Alligator mississippiensis: one gene and its partner. Each later gene encodes a partner of the first gene's protein in a complex. Links are inferred from orthologs where the notes say so. Each region holds a gene or a part of one and is shown on either strand. Other genes may lie near its edges.

Region 1 (7,760 bases):
ACTTAGGGGCGGCTCTGATTAGACCAACTGAGTAAACTACTCAGTTGCTCTAATAAAAAGGTACTACATCTACTCAAAGAACCTTGCCTGCCTTATTGAAGCGTATACACTTAGTACAGTAGGAATGGGGGGCTGTCAGTTGACAGCCTGGCACGGCCAAGCCATGCTTTGGGTCAGGCAAGACTCCAGTCAGAGATGTCCAAGAGAGTTCTTCGGTACCACAGAGGTACGCCAAGGGATGGCCCAAGAATGATATCTAGCTATAATCCCAGCCCAAAATCCAATTTCTTATTTGGGTCCATATATATAGCAGTGGCTGGGGTCCTGTTGGTTGGCAGTCTGGCATAGCCTAACCACGCTTTGGGCCAGGCAAGTCTCTGGCTACAGATGTCCAGGAGAGTCCCCTGGTGGTACAGAGTCACTGTGTGGGATGGCCCAAAAAGAATTTCCAACCATAAACCCAGCCAAAACTTGTTCCTTATTTGAGCCCATATACTTAGTACAGTGGGCATGGGGGGGACTGTCAGTTGGCAGCCTGGCATGCACAAACTGCACTTTGGGCTGGGCTGGGCAAGACCCTGTCCAGAGATGTTCAGGAGAGTCCTCCAGTGCCACAGAGACATAGTGTGGGGCAGCCCAAAAAGAATTTCCAATCATAATCTCAACCCCAAAGCCAGTTCCTTATTCAAGTCATTATACTTAGTACAGTAGGCATGGGGGGCTGCCAGTTAGCAGCCTGGCACAAACAAACTGCTCTAGCCAGGGCAAGACTGGTCATGCATGTCCAGAAGAGCCTCTTGGTGCCACAGAGGTATGCTGTGGGATGACTCAAACAGGACTTCTAGCCATAATCCCAGCCCAAAAAACAGTTCCTTATTTCGAGCCCTTATACTTTAGTACAGTTGTCAGGGGGGGCTGTCAATTGGCAGCTTGGCATGGTCAAACTGTGCTATGGCTGAGCAGGACTGTGGTCAGAATTCTTTGGGACAGTCCCCCAGTGGCATCAACAGGAAGTTTGGGGTGGCCCAAGAAGTATTTTGCCCCTTAATCCTATCCTAATCTGACCTTCATTTAGAGCTCTGTACTTGATGTGGGATATTATTTTACAAATTAATTAGTACATATACATAACTAATGAAATTCTCTCTCTTTAGGATGTGCAATTCATTAATAACAAGCTTTTATTGGGTCTAGATTAGCTTTGAAAAAGGAACTGGGAACAAGGAACTGGGAATAAGCAATCAAATTCATCCTCATAGGGACTGAAGTCAATGGTATAAACGCCTGATATGAACCGGAAGTACACACCATGAACACTACAAGCTTAGTTCAAATTATGTAAAATTATGGAGCAGGGGCAAGAAGTGGAAGCCAGAGGAGTGAATGGGGAGCTCAGAGACCCTGGCTCCAGCAGCAACCAATGCAAGGGTGGGGAGTAGCAGCTGGGTGGCTCAAGGGCTACAAATTAACCCTCTCTCAAGGCTGTATGCAGCACAAGAGCCACCTGTTGGACTGGTAGAGGAGAGAAACTTTCTCCTATCAAAATGAAGTGAAAAACAAACATATCAACTTTCCATCAAACCATCGAAACATATTGACCATCTACCTATATAGCATATTACTTGTGGTGCAAGCAATTTGAAGGAGAGAAGATAATAGTCCTGTAGACCTGGAATACCTATCATACAGGATACCTATCCTGACTACCCAGGTGCAGATACTCTTTTTCCACACTAAGAGTAGCTTCAAATTTCTCTTTGAAAAAAGCGGTAGTTAAAGGTAATGTTCACATTTAGAAATGTCAGGCTTCAGCTCCAACATCCTAAGGAAAAGGTGCATGGGTGTGGAGTTCACATCTCAACCCCATTACATCAAGACATCTATACAACACAGCCTCAAGGTACATGTACAAAACTTTCTTCTCAACTAACAAGGTTTTATAAATCCAAGTTAAAATTGCTCAGAAACTGAAAGAGCCACCAATAAAATCCCAATATTGCTCCACTATTGCCATGGCACAAAATATGGGCTAACCCAGCTAGTCTATAAACTCTACAAAGCCTGCAAGGCCTCCAGGGTAGGGTATCCATTTGGCAGGGATAAAGGATCCTTCTGCCATTTCCCTGTTACAGGTTTTTAAATTTGATTTCTGGAATTTAAGCATTTTAAGGAACAGCCACAGACCCTCTGTAGGAGAGGAGGGTGACTTCAGGATGGATACTGGGGAAGAGGGGGACAGATCACCCCTACATGCTAGGCAGGGACACAAGGGTGGCCCTGGGGTGGGGTTTTTAAGTGTTCGGCTGTGGCTTGCAGACTTGTTGCTTCTTATGGGTTTTGTCACGTTCTGTAAGCCACCCTAAGCCTTTCCAGACAGGGTGGGATACAAACCTAAACAACAGCAGCAGCAACAACTTCACGCCCATGTACACACACGCCAGGAAACAGCAAGGCGCAGAGGAGTCAGCAGACGGACGCGCGGGGGCAGCTGACGAGCCTCACACAAACAAACCTCCTACTCCAGGAACAGGCACAGAAGTGGCCAGGCGCTTCCTGCCACGCAAAGCGGCCGGCCTATTCCCGGCAGCGCCCTCAGGCTGAGCGCTCACAGCCCGGCAGGGGCGCGGCAACGCCTGCCCGGCGCACGCGGGTCCCAGCCCTCAGTCCCGCCGGCCTGAAGCCGCTGTAGCTCAGACGCACCCCGGGAGGCGATGCCGGCGCAAGCGGCGGGTCTTGGGGCCCAAGCTGAAGCGCCAGCGGTCTCCTGCCCCCACCCTGCAAAGACCACGGGCGGCCGCAGGACTCTGCAGGCCCCCTCCCCGCCCAGCTGCGGGAAGCGCGCGGCGCCCAGCACCTCGGAAGCGGCGCAGCAGGTCGGGGTCGCGGAAGCCGCTGCGGCTGAGGAAGTCGCAAACACGTTCGGGGTCCCAGTCGCGCGGCTGGAGCTCGGCGCAAGCCGGGGCTCGCCTGGCTGAGACTCGCTTCTCCGGGGTGCACAGCCCTTCGGGGAGGCCGGAGATCCGAGCCCGCTTAGGGGCCTGCACGTCCTCCGCCACCTCCCGGCCCTGCATTGTCGCCGCCTGCGCCAGCCCAGCGGCGCGCACCTCTCTGCACGGCGCCGGCGCCAGTGAACAGCTCGTGGGGGGCGGGGACCCAGGATAAATGGCGTCGTGTGACGCAGGAGAGTAGGCAGTTGCTGCGCCTCCCTCCCTCTGCAGTGCCGCTATGACCTCCCTGACATTGCACAGACTGTACGAGACGACTGTAGCCCTGGCTCGGGCTTCCCGTCTTCCTGAAACCACCCTGGAAGCCACACAGACCCTCCCCCTCGCAGATTGCCACTATCACCTAATGGCGTTATTGTCCCTTACAAAGAGTAGCACCCAAGTAGATACCTCCCCACCTGAACAGCAGCTCCTCTGCTGATGCTCTCACTGATTCCTCCAAAGAAACACTGTATCCTTAGAAAATAAGTCACAAAACAAGAATGACAAGGCCATAAGGGAAATACAGAGTACCCAAGCGAGGGACTAACATAAGAGGGATTGGGGTGAGGAGAGGAATACAACTAGGCTACCTAAGTACAATGTTAGTCATCTAAGCCTGGGGTCAGTGTGAGAGAAGGGGAGGGAGATGGTCAGGACGCTGAGAGAGAGAAGAAGATAGCTACAAACAAATGTACAAAGGTCAGCAATGATGGAGGGGGTGGGTTGAACAAAGAAGTCACTCAAGCCAGCCAGCCCTATCGCAGAAGTCCTTGCCAGGTGGAGTGGAGTAGTCCGTGGTTGAGAATAGCTCTCAAAGTCCATTACATGCAGAGGGGAGTTCAGACCCCTCTGGGTCCGGTCCGGTGGCAGTTGGTCTGGTGGGGTTGATGAACTGGCACTGGCCCATGATGTGTTCGACGTAGGTGTTGTGGGACCAGCGGATGGTGTCAGACACCATGAGGCACCGCATCAGCTTGGTGTAGCGGCGGGAGGCAAGGCAGGCACACAGGACACTCTTGTTGCTGGGGTCCCAGGCTCCAAGCACTCCCACAATGAGCATGTCGACCATCACATGGTAGTCACGGCTCTTCAGGATGTCGGTCAGTGGGGCATATTTCTCCCACTTGTGAGCCCAGGCATCGGTGAAGGCTTGGGGCTGGTTCTCGAAGGTGATGGTAACATCCATGATCACGACTTTCTTGACTTCCTCATTGGTGATGATGATGTCGGGGTGCATCAGAAATTGCACTTCAGAAATTGCTATGCCCCAGTGCTTCAGATACCACAACATCCCAACCACTTGTGTACCTGTCTCCTGAGGTGCTATCATCCCTGCCTGAGGTGCTATCATCCCTGAGTCACTCTGACCCGGACATAACCATATTGTTATTCCAGACACTACTGTGCTTAAAAACACCAATCTGACTCACCATTCCAATGACAAACATTGATGCTGCCCAGATTCATCAAAGATCTCACAACATGATGATACATCACTGGAGATAACACTGGTGAAATAGTTCCCCAACCACCAAAGTGCTCCTGTATCCCAGATTTCACTGAGCTGAAGATGACCTCGTGTCCCATTGAACCTAATGCCACAAAACTGTATATAGTGACAGAACAAATGGCCCAAACATCACTGGCAGACAAGGTTTTTTGAGTAAATGTGATATGTTTTATTAGATCTTTGTTATTCTTGAAGAAGGGTGTTTGCACCCGAAAGCTTGCAAAGAACATTTTTTCCAACTATTTAGTTAGTCTAATAAAAGATATCACATTTACCCAAAGAACCTTGTCTGCCTATGTCCTTAGACCAACACGGCTACAACCAACCCTCCCAAACATCACTGCATTTTTATGCCTACTGTGAGAGAGGCAGAAAGCAAGAGAGGGACAGCCAGCATCCCCAACTCACCCTGGTATGGGGAATCCCCGTGAGTGGCATGCTGGAGACGCTGCAGCACTTCTGGAGCAATGTGACACTCCAGATTGGTGGGGAACACATCTAGAGCAGTAATTCTGGCCCCAGAGAGAGGTACAGCGGCAGTGGCAGTAGGCAGCAGAGGCGACAGACTGAGTAGCTCCCAGACTGGGGGCAACCTTGCTGCTGAAGCAGAACAGCCAGTCCAGCCCAAGCAGCAGGGTGCTTGGAGGAGCCCTATTCTACAAGCTCGATGACCGGGAGAGGCAGGATCAGGGACCAGCACATCCAGTTGGTCCAGCAATGCCGAGACTACTTACAGGTCAGAGGGACCTTGTGTGGAGGTGGATCAAACAGAAGGTCCAGGTACTGAGCCAGTGCTTACCTCTTGGGCAGTATCATCATACTTAGGGGTAAGGGCATGGTCTGGGGCCTATACCCTTGCCCAGGCTCCACATTCTGCAACAGGCCAGGGGCAGCAGAAGGCCCCAGAGTTTGTGACCGGACCCTAGGGACCAGGGTCAGTGGGTGATAAAGCCCTGTATAACTGCCAAAGGGGCCTTGAATGTCAGGCCTGGGCAGGTAAAGGCTACAATCCTAAGAGGATCCCAGGTTGGGAGAAGATTTATGTTCATGCCAGTGTGACAGGCCAACAGCGGCTGCCACCCATAGCATAGCGACTAATTTAGGGCCACCAGGCCCAGGAATATACTTTAAGTGCTGAGCTAGCTAGTTAGCAGCTGCAGAAGCTCAGCAGGAACACAGCCAAAGTTAGATGAGGGCCAGTCAAGTGGATAGCTGCTAGCATGGTTGCTATAGAGAACACGTGCTGTTAGAGTCATCAGAGACTCCTGACAATATCCATCTCTGTGGGAGACTGGATGTGGTTAGGATGGGGTAAAAGGGAGGTTTGCAGCCTCACAAAGAGAACAGGGTGAAAGACCTGGAGGGTCGCCTATGGGGAACTGCCTCCTGTAAATTACATCAAAGTCATGGCAGACAAGACATATAACATCACATAGGCAGGCCGGATGACCTAGTCTAGGCTCCACCCTGTTGCCACAGGTAGGGTGGCAATCCCTGGGAAGGGGTCTCAAACCAGATAATATCTATAGCCGACACACCTATCCACAATACAACTAGGAGACCCAACTAGGGGATGTTGGATCTTGTCCTGACCAATAGGTGAGAAATGGTAGAGGAGATGAAAATCACAGGAAGCTTGGGAGTCATCAATCACAATATGATAAAATTAATGAGACAGAAAGGGAAAGCATTTGGTCAGCAGACCTAAGTCACTAGATTTAGAAAAATGACTTTCAACTGACTTATGGAGTTAATAGCCATGGTGCCATAGGAAGACAGACTGAAGGTTAAAGGGGCCCAGAAGGGCTAAGAAGCTTCTTAAGGGCACAGTATTGGAAGCCCAACAAGAAACTGTCCCAATGTGGTGGAAGCATATGCCTTATGGCCTTCTAGGATGCCTCAAACACAAAAGAAAAGTATATAGGCAATAAGAAGATGGGCAAATCACCAAGGAAGCATACCAGGAGATGCAGGGAAAAAATCAGGAAGGCAAAGGTAAAAAATGAGCTTCAGCTGACAAGGGCAGTTAAAAACAACAAGAAGAGGTTCTAAGTAGGTTCTAAGTAGGCTGGTCTGAAAAGAAAGACCAAGAAAGCTGCAGGTCCACCAGGGTTTGCAACATGGGGTGACTAGGGGGCTGAGCCCCCCCCATAAGAGATGAGAGGCCCCCCCATAAGCACCTCCATAAGAGATGAGATCCCCCATAAGAGACAAGAGCCCCCAGCTTGCCTTTCTAAGCAGCTCAGGCAGCAGCAACAGTGGTGGTGGCTCCTTTTAGCTTCCAGCTGTCACCACCAGAGTGTAATTCAAACCCTGATTTGAATCACTGTCCTGAATCAATTCAGCCAAATCTGATTCAGAGAATCAGTTGCTGCTGAATCAGCCGAATTTCCGAATCACACAGGCGCTATCCCCTACCCGCTCTCCCAGCCCCAGCAATGGCTGCCCCGCCCACCCCAACTCCCGGCACTTAAAAAAAAAAAGCACCTAATCACCGGTTCCAGCCCGGTGGGGTGGGCAATCCCCGCTGCCCCACACTGCCCTATGAGCCCCCTGCCCCCTCCGCTCTCCCAGCCTGTGCCCCCCATGACTGCCCTGCCTGCCCCAGCTCTGGTCCTTTAAGAAAAACAAAAACTAAAAATATCCTTGGACTCACCAGTTCCTGCCTGGTGGGGGAGCAAATCCTACTGCCCCCCACTGCCCCGCGATGCATGGGGGGCTCTGTATGGGCCCCCTGAAACCCTGAGGCCACTGTAGCAGCTGGTGAGTCTGGAGATTTTTGGGGGGTTTTTTTCTTAAAGGGCCAGGAGCTAGGGCAGGCAAGACAGCATGGTGGGGTCTGGGAGAACTGTGGGGGGGGTCTGGGAGCTCGTGTTGGAGCCCCCCATGTGACATGGGGGAGCGGGGGGCAGTGGGGATCACCCCCCCCTGCCCGGCAGCACCCAGTAAGTGTGGGGCTGGGGGAGCAGGCAGGGGATGGGGCCCAGTGGAGGGTCTCCCATGGACCCTCCTCCAGCCCCCCCTCCCCTGGCTCCTACTTACCAGCTTGGAGTCCAGCTCCCTGCTGCAGTGGGCAGGGACTGCCCGAATCACCAAAGCTCTCCAAATCTTTTCTGAATCAAACCGGAGAACTTCGAATCAATTTGGACCTTTTAATTGGTCCCCTGATTCGATACGGATTCGGAGATTCAGCCACTGAAGCAGGCCGAATCTCCTCCAAATCAAATCAGCACCTGAAGCTTCACACAGTACTACTGGTTAGG
Region 2 (7,552 bases), on another chromosome or scaffold:
CTAGCAACAACTGGCGTCAAGTCTTGTTGAAGAATCCAGCAGTCTTCAGAGACTCAAATACATTGGATGTGGTATCACTGATTATCAAGGAGATGACCCATCCCAAAATGGGCATGTACCAAAGACGGCTAATGCTTGAATAAACAGGGTTGGAAGAACTAATACAAGCATTGGATTGAAAAAACTGGATGGGCTAATATTGGGCTGAGCCTCTGGCTAAAAATGTTGCTGTCAAAGTGGATGATGTTGAAGCAAAAAGTTCACCATGAGGTTGATGATTAATATTAACTGGTGCTTGCCCTAGTGTGTGGCAAAACTAGAGGAAGAAAAGCCAGAGACAGCTGTTTTTCAGTTTTCTTCACCCCCTGGTCTTCAGGATGCATGAAATCCTAATAGTTTCAGCTTAATCCAGAGGGGTTTAGGGTTGCTTTCTACCTGTTTTAGACTCCATCAATCCTTTTTCTCTGTGTATCTCTGCAAGAGAATGTGAAGTACAGAAAGAGAACAACAGTATCTTCATTTCAGATAGCAAAGTCCTGTACCATAACTGAATCTCTGAAGTGCAATGCAACCTCTACCTAAAATAAAGGTGTAGCTGGACAGTGGCTAGGTTGCCACCATCAATGGTAGTACCAGCTCAGGCAGTGCTGACTGCTATTTTTGTACTTCCCCTCCCCTCCAGCCCCTCCATTGGCATCTGGTGCCCTGTTTACCCTTTTCCCCGCTTACCTTAGTTAAGCTACTGCTGAAATATGAATTCTAAAAGCACCCTAAACCATGTCTTTGAACTAACTGTGCAAGCCAAAGGGCCTAGGCATTGGTGACTCTGCCTGGTGCCAGACACATGAGAAGGTACTTAATCCTGTTGGACCCAAGGCCCCTTAGGAATTCAAGCCCACATTCAATTCCCATACAGGTATGCAGAAAAACTACTCTTATTTGGGAATACGTCAGTTGGTAAAAGTGGCCCCATACCATCTAGCCCTGAGTGAGAACCCCAAGTGTCCTGTTAAAGTAAGACTTCACTGGACCCACATTCAAATATGGATACAGGAAGTCCTTCATGACTGGTTCCCACCTTTTGGGTAAACAACATAACTTCCCACGTAACAATAGTTGGCATCATCCTGTAGATAAGGGGTCGAGAACCTTCCACTGTTATGGGCCACTGTTTGAACCCAGCCCCTATTGAAGGGTGCAAAGATTTGCAGTGACTTGCAAATACTGCAGAGGAAATACAGAATGAGATAGGCAGCAGTACCTGGGGAATGCCCTCTCTGCTGCACTGGCTGGAGCATGCTGTTGCAGGCTGGATCAAGTCTTTTCATAACTTGCATCTGGCCCATTGGGAATAGGTTGCCAACCCTTGTTGGAGATCATTTTGCCCAGTAACTTTTTTTGTCATACCTTCTTGAGAAGGTCTGATGGTATGATCTAGCTTCTGTAACCATCTTTATTAGAAGTGGAGGATACACGGAAGGTGTCATTGCTGGAAGTACTCCCAGGGTTGATCGCAACCTATTTCTCTCCTTGTCAAATTTTCTCTTTCTTTCTTCTCATGATCCAGGGTTCTGCCTTGTATTTCATTCTTGGTCTTACCATCATCTTGTACAAGTTGACCTTTAGCATCTTTTTATTACAAAAATTACACCAAATATTTCTTTCCTTTCCACTTTTTTTTGGTCACTCTCATTAAGCCTCTTTAACATTCCTCATTTATGATGGAAAATTTCAGCTACCTGAGCATTCCATGTGGTGTTGCCCCTATCAGTTCATTACAACACTTTGCTTTCCATTCCTGTTACTATCACAGCCACAGCCACTGTTTGAGTACTTACTTTCAGCTCCCCCATTTTTAAGAAACTTCCAACAGCCTGGATAATGACCAAAAAAATTTTTTTCCCCAACTATTTTAGTTGGTCTAATAAGAGATATCGGATTTACCCAAAGAACCTTGTCTGAATGGTAACTCGGCACTTCCAGGAGTACACACTACTAACGAGCCAGACGACATGGCTCATTACTTATTACTAACACCCTGAAGAGGTGTTAGTTACACCTTACATGTGAAAGAGGGATGATATAAATTGAAGGCACCTGCTAATAGTCACAAGTGTCAGTGGGAAAGCTGAAACAGAATCAAACTCTTGACTTGGTCCCTTGCTCCATAAAAGGCACAAGACCACGCTTCTTTCCTTGTGATAGAAGCAGCCATGCTGAAGTAGTAATGGACGAACAAAAACAGCTGGGATGATTTAGTCTTCCTATGATTTGACTCTGTTGGTTCAATGTGACTTGCTTTGGTGTTGTGCTTAGTTTCCTACAGGATTAGGAGAAATAGTCTTGTTTCCAAAGCAAGCTGCTGTCTAATGGTCAAAAGTAGGCAAGTCAATGGCCAAATTAAACAGCTTTCAGTGTAACACTCAAGAATGGAAAAGGAAATAAGTTTATTGAATCAAGTAATGTGATACTTAAAAACAAACTGCATGAGTTAAAGCTGGTATCAAAAGTTGTCATTTTGTACTCATACAATATCCCTACTAGTCTAATGGATTGGGCATCCTCCCTTCCTCTGACTTCAGTAGGAAGGTGTTTAAAATGAGCAAGTAGATGGATTCTGTAAGGTAGTCTAAACTGTATGATGAATTCATTACAGACTATAAATTCATTCATTTGAGAGGGGCAGCAGGGTACAAAAACCCCATAGCTTAGGTAATTTATTTTGGAGACATGAAGAACATAGCAAGCTGTAGTACCATCCATCGCCATAGGGGTATTTATAGGTTGGAAGGAATATTCATGTCACCACATAAATTTTTGTATGTGGTAACATAGCACCCACGTGGGTCCACCCTGCTTGCTGGCGCCTTCCCAACCTTGCTTTGCCTCCCATCATTTACTGACCCTAGGGATCTCTCCCCAACAACACTGAAATTGTGGCAGGTAGTCACATCATGGGATGGACTGATATGTCCATACCAACCAGCAATAGCTGGGACCTTCTGCCTTCTCTTGGTACTTCCCCTTAAAGGGGACACCCACATAGGTTGAGGCACTTGGCAGGGCCTTGGCCATCACAGCCTCAGCTCCCCTTTGCTCTACAACTACACCCTCTGCCTGGGACTGCTGTTCAAGGCCTCAGTCTCTGAGTTTCAACCCTTACCTCAATCTCAGGGCCTGAACTCTGGGGCTCATTGCAGGGGGAAGCACTAAAGCACTCCTATTTGTGGCTTCTTCTCTTTACAGCCACAGCCAGTTCTCCAAAAGATCTAGCCAAAACATAAACATCAGCCCAACAGCTGTGAAACAAAAAAAACCTCTCTATTCTGGGCTAATACTTCCCTGCAGGGTGCTAGTTCCCCTTAGCCTCTTCCCTGCAGATCTCTGGGAACTAGGCGGACACTAATCAACCCACCTCCACCAGCTGCCAACTACAAGACCAGATTAACCAATGCCTATTCAGAGACTGGGTTTATATTTCTCAGCCCAGGCCCCTTCCAGTCACCTGACTGACCCTTTTGTTCATCCTTTCCCAGTGCCAGGTGCAGTTAATTGCCTGCCTCATTAGCTACCTGATTCCTGCCCTTTTTTAAAATGTATTCAAGCCCTCCCAGTAACAAGGGCAGGAGTTCCCCGTTGCAGGCAATATATATATATATATATATATATATATATTGTGTATATATATGCATGTGTGCGCACATGTATTCTAAAGTGTCTTGAATACTCTGCACTATGACCATCCCTTTTTAACAGAGAATATAATATTTTTATTTAACGTTCCTGTGGTAGCCCGACTCTGCAAGTGGTAATTGATTGGGCCCGTCTCAAGAAAGTAGTCCAGTGTGTGAAGGCATTATTTCTAGTAATCCTGCTCGTCTGTGGGGTAACTCTAATGGAGCAAACAGTAGATTGAGGGAAGAATATGAATATGGCAATATATTCCCAACCTAAACTTGTACCTTAAGGTTTATGAACATGAATCCCATCAAGTGCAATGTCATGCGAGGGCCGTGTCACATGTTGTGCTGTGATCCGCACATCTGTCGAGCGGTGTGAGCGCGGGGTGTAAGGTGCAGGTGCTCTAGTGTAACACAAGCCGAAAATACCTTCACACCCTTAGTGCTTGGCGCCAGTTTCAGGAGTTAATGTGGAGACAAGCCAGGCGTTGAGAGCTCCAGGAGCCGCCCCAGAATCGCAGTAACAAGACCTTGCTTGGCATGAGCAGCCCTTTGCGCCCCCGCACCGGGGCAGGACCGAGATGATTTAACTCGGCAGCTTCTGCAAACAGCGCCTCATGAGCGGGAGTGAGCACCATCACTTGATCCGCGGGGTCAGGAACCGGCCCCGCCCCCGAGCCTGACGCAGACCAGACCCAGCCTCCCGGCACTGAGAGAGCCGCGCATGCGCACTGTGCCGCCGGCTCTCGAACTGTGTTTCCCTGGAGGCTGCGCGGGCGCCGGCCCCTGCGCGCGCCGTGACGTGCAAAGTGTGAGCCGCCATCGCTGTCGCGGGCTGTGCGGGGCCGAACGGGCAGCGCAGCGCAGCGCAGCGCAGCGCAGCGGCGGGGACCAGCGGGCGCTGGGCAGGTAGGGCTGGGCGCGGACCCCGCGGGGTGGCTGACGGCACCGGCTGCGGCCCCGGCCCCACAGGCCGCTCGGCCCTGGCCTTGCCACTGCGTCGGCCGGCCCGGCCCTGTCCTGTCCTGTCGGGTCCTGCCTCGGGCCCGGCGCGGGGCCGTTACCGCGGGGCGGGGGAGGGGCGCCCGGTCCCCCCTGCAGCTCCCTCCACCTTGTGCCGCCGGGGTCACTCCCGGCTCCTCGCTACCTCCGGGCCTCCCTTCCCCGTCCGTCCGCGCGCCCGCCCCCTGCCCCGAGCGTGGCGCTTCCTGCCCACGTGGGGGGGTGGTGACTTGCCGCCCAGCTCAGCCCTCTTGCTCGAAGGACCCCTTGTTCCTCACCTATCCTTGCTGCCATGTGCCGGGTGGGCTGCTCTGCCCAGCCCTGCCCTGCCATTGCCTCGCCGCTGCCTCCATATGCCCCCCCCCTCTCCCCCCTCGCCCCGAGGGGCCGGGGTGAGACCTCGGGCCTGCCGCCTCCTCCTTCCATGCAGTGTAGTTTTGGTAGTGAGTGGCTCTACTGTTGGAGCTGCTTTCCTTTTGGAGACTGTTTTCATACACTTATTAATTGCAAGAATTAAACTGGTACAGTCCCTCTTATAGGCATGACAGGTGCCTCTGGGCTAGTGAACCTCTTCCCTGATTAGGAGTCAGACATGCTCAGGAAAGTGCGTTTGTGGGAGCGCAGGATGTCTTTGATTACACAAGTGTAGTTACAGTGTTACAGGGCTCAGGCATAGACCCATTCTTTGTCTTGCTTTTCTCCTACTTGTTTGATTGGGGATTGTTGTCACCCCTTGAAAACCAGTGGACTGAGAATGGAGTGATTTTTCTCTTGACACCAACATATTTGTTCCTTGTTTTAATTATTTTTTTGTTACAGTTGGTTGACAGCCCCTCTGAGGTACATTTCATAGAAGCTTAAATGTAGAGAACTAAATTATTTAATCTTTTGAGCTGGACTTCCAAAATTTGACTCAAGTTGGTGAGTGAGTGAATACTACATTTTGACGGACAAGTAGAACAGTGCTGGTTTTTTAGATCATTATTTTTACTGTTTGTAGGGCCTGCAGGCAAGTCGTATTTGCTTCTTGATGACTGAAGTGACAAGCTGAAAAAATAGGCCATCATCTTGAAAGTCCTGCTTCTTCTAACACTAAGATGTGATTTCATTCGTGATTGACCATGCAGATCTCTTCTTTGCTTATAGACTGTGTTCAACAGTACAGTTGTTAATCAGTGTTGGCATTTGCATAATCATTCTTAGGTTGCAACTTTACCACCCTTTTTAAGAGTGGGATAGTTGTTGCAGGCTCTTTGCACACTCAGGCAGCCAGAGCTTCATTTGTTTATGCAGCACTTGCTGTTTAAAAAAAAATAAAAAATTTCTACCATTGCAGTTAGATTTCACGCTACCTTAGACTTTGTCTACAGTGGTTCTTTTAGAAAACTTAAATCATTGTTGAGAGCAGTATTATATTTCTTGTTTTATCTGGACTGGGTTAGAGTGTGGTTGCTATAATGTGGCTTGACCTTGTCCATTATGCTGATGGACAAATTTCATAACTCTGTTAATCTTCATTAGAATTTATGTCTGACGTTCTGCCACAAGGTTGATTAAAATCATTACTTATTTTTTCTTAAACAATATGATTTCTTGTTATTTATATGTTGCTAATTGTTTCCTTTTCATTTTAAATTTTGCAGTGCAGCTTTTGAGCTTGAGTTTCATATTTATTATCTGAAATTCTAATACTGTAGGTACCTTATTTTAAAAGATTTTCATGTAAAATGGTTATATCTCCTGAAACAGTTTAGAGCCTTGTTGTAATCCTTACCAGGAGAGTGCCACAAAATTGATAAGCAAACAGCTTGTGCTGTTTTTGCAGCTAGCATTCCCTTCCAATATGTTGCAGTTTCATAAAGTTGAAGCTGAAACATTTCAGCTAGATTATACTATTTAGGCTTTGCAGTTGGAAGCTGTGTCCCAGAGTCACTCTGTGCCACAGGCACGAAAGGATTTGAGTGCCTATTTCTTGTTGAAATCAGTAGGATTATCCGTGTTGCCTAAACACCTTTGAGGACTTGGGCCTTTTTTTGTGAGAGACCTTTTTCAGTCTTTTGGCTTGTATATTAATGTATCATGGGAGCTTGTCTTCTTAAGTCTCAGTTGATTTTTATTGTTAAAACTGAAGTCATTTTATTTGAGATGACAGAGACAAATAAAATTGCCTGCATAAGTGCTTGCAGAATCGAGGCCTGGCTTTCAGTATTTTGCATTTTGCTAATGGCAAGTTTGAAAAATGTGATTCCCAAATAGTAATGGTATTAAAGAAATGTAACGTTATCATTTACTTAATTACAAATTATAATTTGAGGCTGCAACTTCAACATCATTTTTACAGAATTTCAACTTGATTTTTAAATCAGTGATTAAAATGCTACATCCTATTCTTAGTTCCTGAAAAGCAGTTTAGGGGTTGAAATTTGTCAAGTGCCTGTACAAAGGAAACAATGAGAATTAGGGCTGCTCTAATAAACATCCTCTACTGCAGCTTAGGGGCACTTCTGATCACATTTTATTCAGTCTGCGCTCTTGTTTTTTCTCTTGAGCCCTTTGATGAAGTTCTTGAGTGAGGGGAATGTAAATCTGGCAGGAATTGATTTGATCATTGCATCTGCAAATGCTATGCACTTGTCATAAAAATGCATGTGCTGGGAAAATTGTGGTTAATGCATGAGAAATACAAGTTTGTGTTATACACCTTGGTCTCTTTACTGATGGCATTTAGCATGTAGTTACAATAAAATAAATTTGAAAAGGTAGTACACAGAATTGAGGAAGGGAAAACCGAAATCCTCCCTCCCCTGGCCATGTGATGTTTTTGATAAAGGTTTTATTTTCCCCTTTTGTGCATGCCTATATGCAGATGG

What was found. The genes of interacting proteins can lie anywhere in the genome.
Region 2: the proteins of SAMHD1 (region 1) and DCAF1 are in contact, whole or in part, in a crystal structure (PDB 4CC9), measured with the Homo sapiens proteins. The link is inferred for Alligator mississippiensis from reciprocal best matches to the Homo sapiens genes SAMHD1 and DCAF1. Residues at the interface, in NP_056289.2 of Homo sapiens: Ser616, Arg617, Val618, Gln619, Lys622; in NP_001336097.1 of Homo sapiens: Asn1090, Glu1091, Asp1092, Thr1114, Gln1116, Asn1132.

What each region holds. Positions count from the first base shown.
Region 1 is NC_081832.1:35,304,052-35,311,811, forward strand, and holds the start of SAMHD1 (deoxynucleoside triphosphate triphosphohydrolase SAMHD1), read right to left. Parts: upstream 3,134-7,760; 5' UTR 3,072-3,133; coding exon 2,855-3,071; intron 1-2,854.
Region 2 is NC_081835.1:46,299,670-46,307,221, reverse strand, and holds the start of DCAF1 (DDB1- and CUL4-associated factor 1), read left to right. Parts: upstream 1-4,419; 5' UTR 4,420-4,589; intron 4,590-7,552. UniProt on the Homo sapiens protein: Acts both as a substrate recognition component of E3 ubiquitin-protein ligase complexes and as an atypical serine/threonine-protein kinase, playing key roles in various processes such as cell cycle, telomerase regulation and histone modification.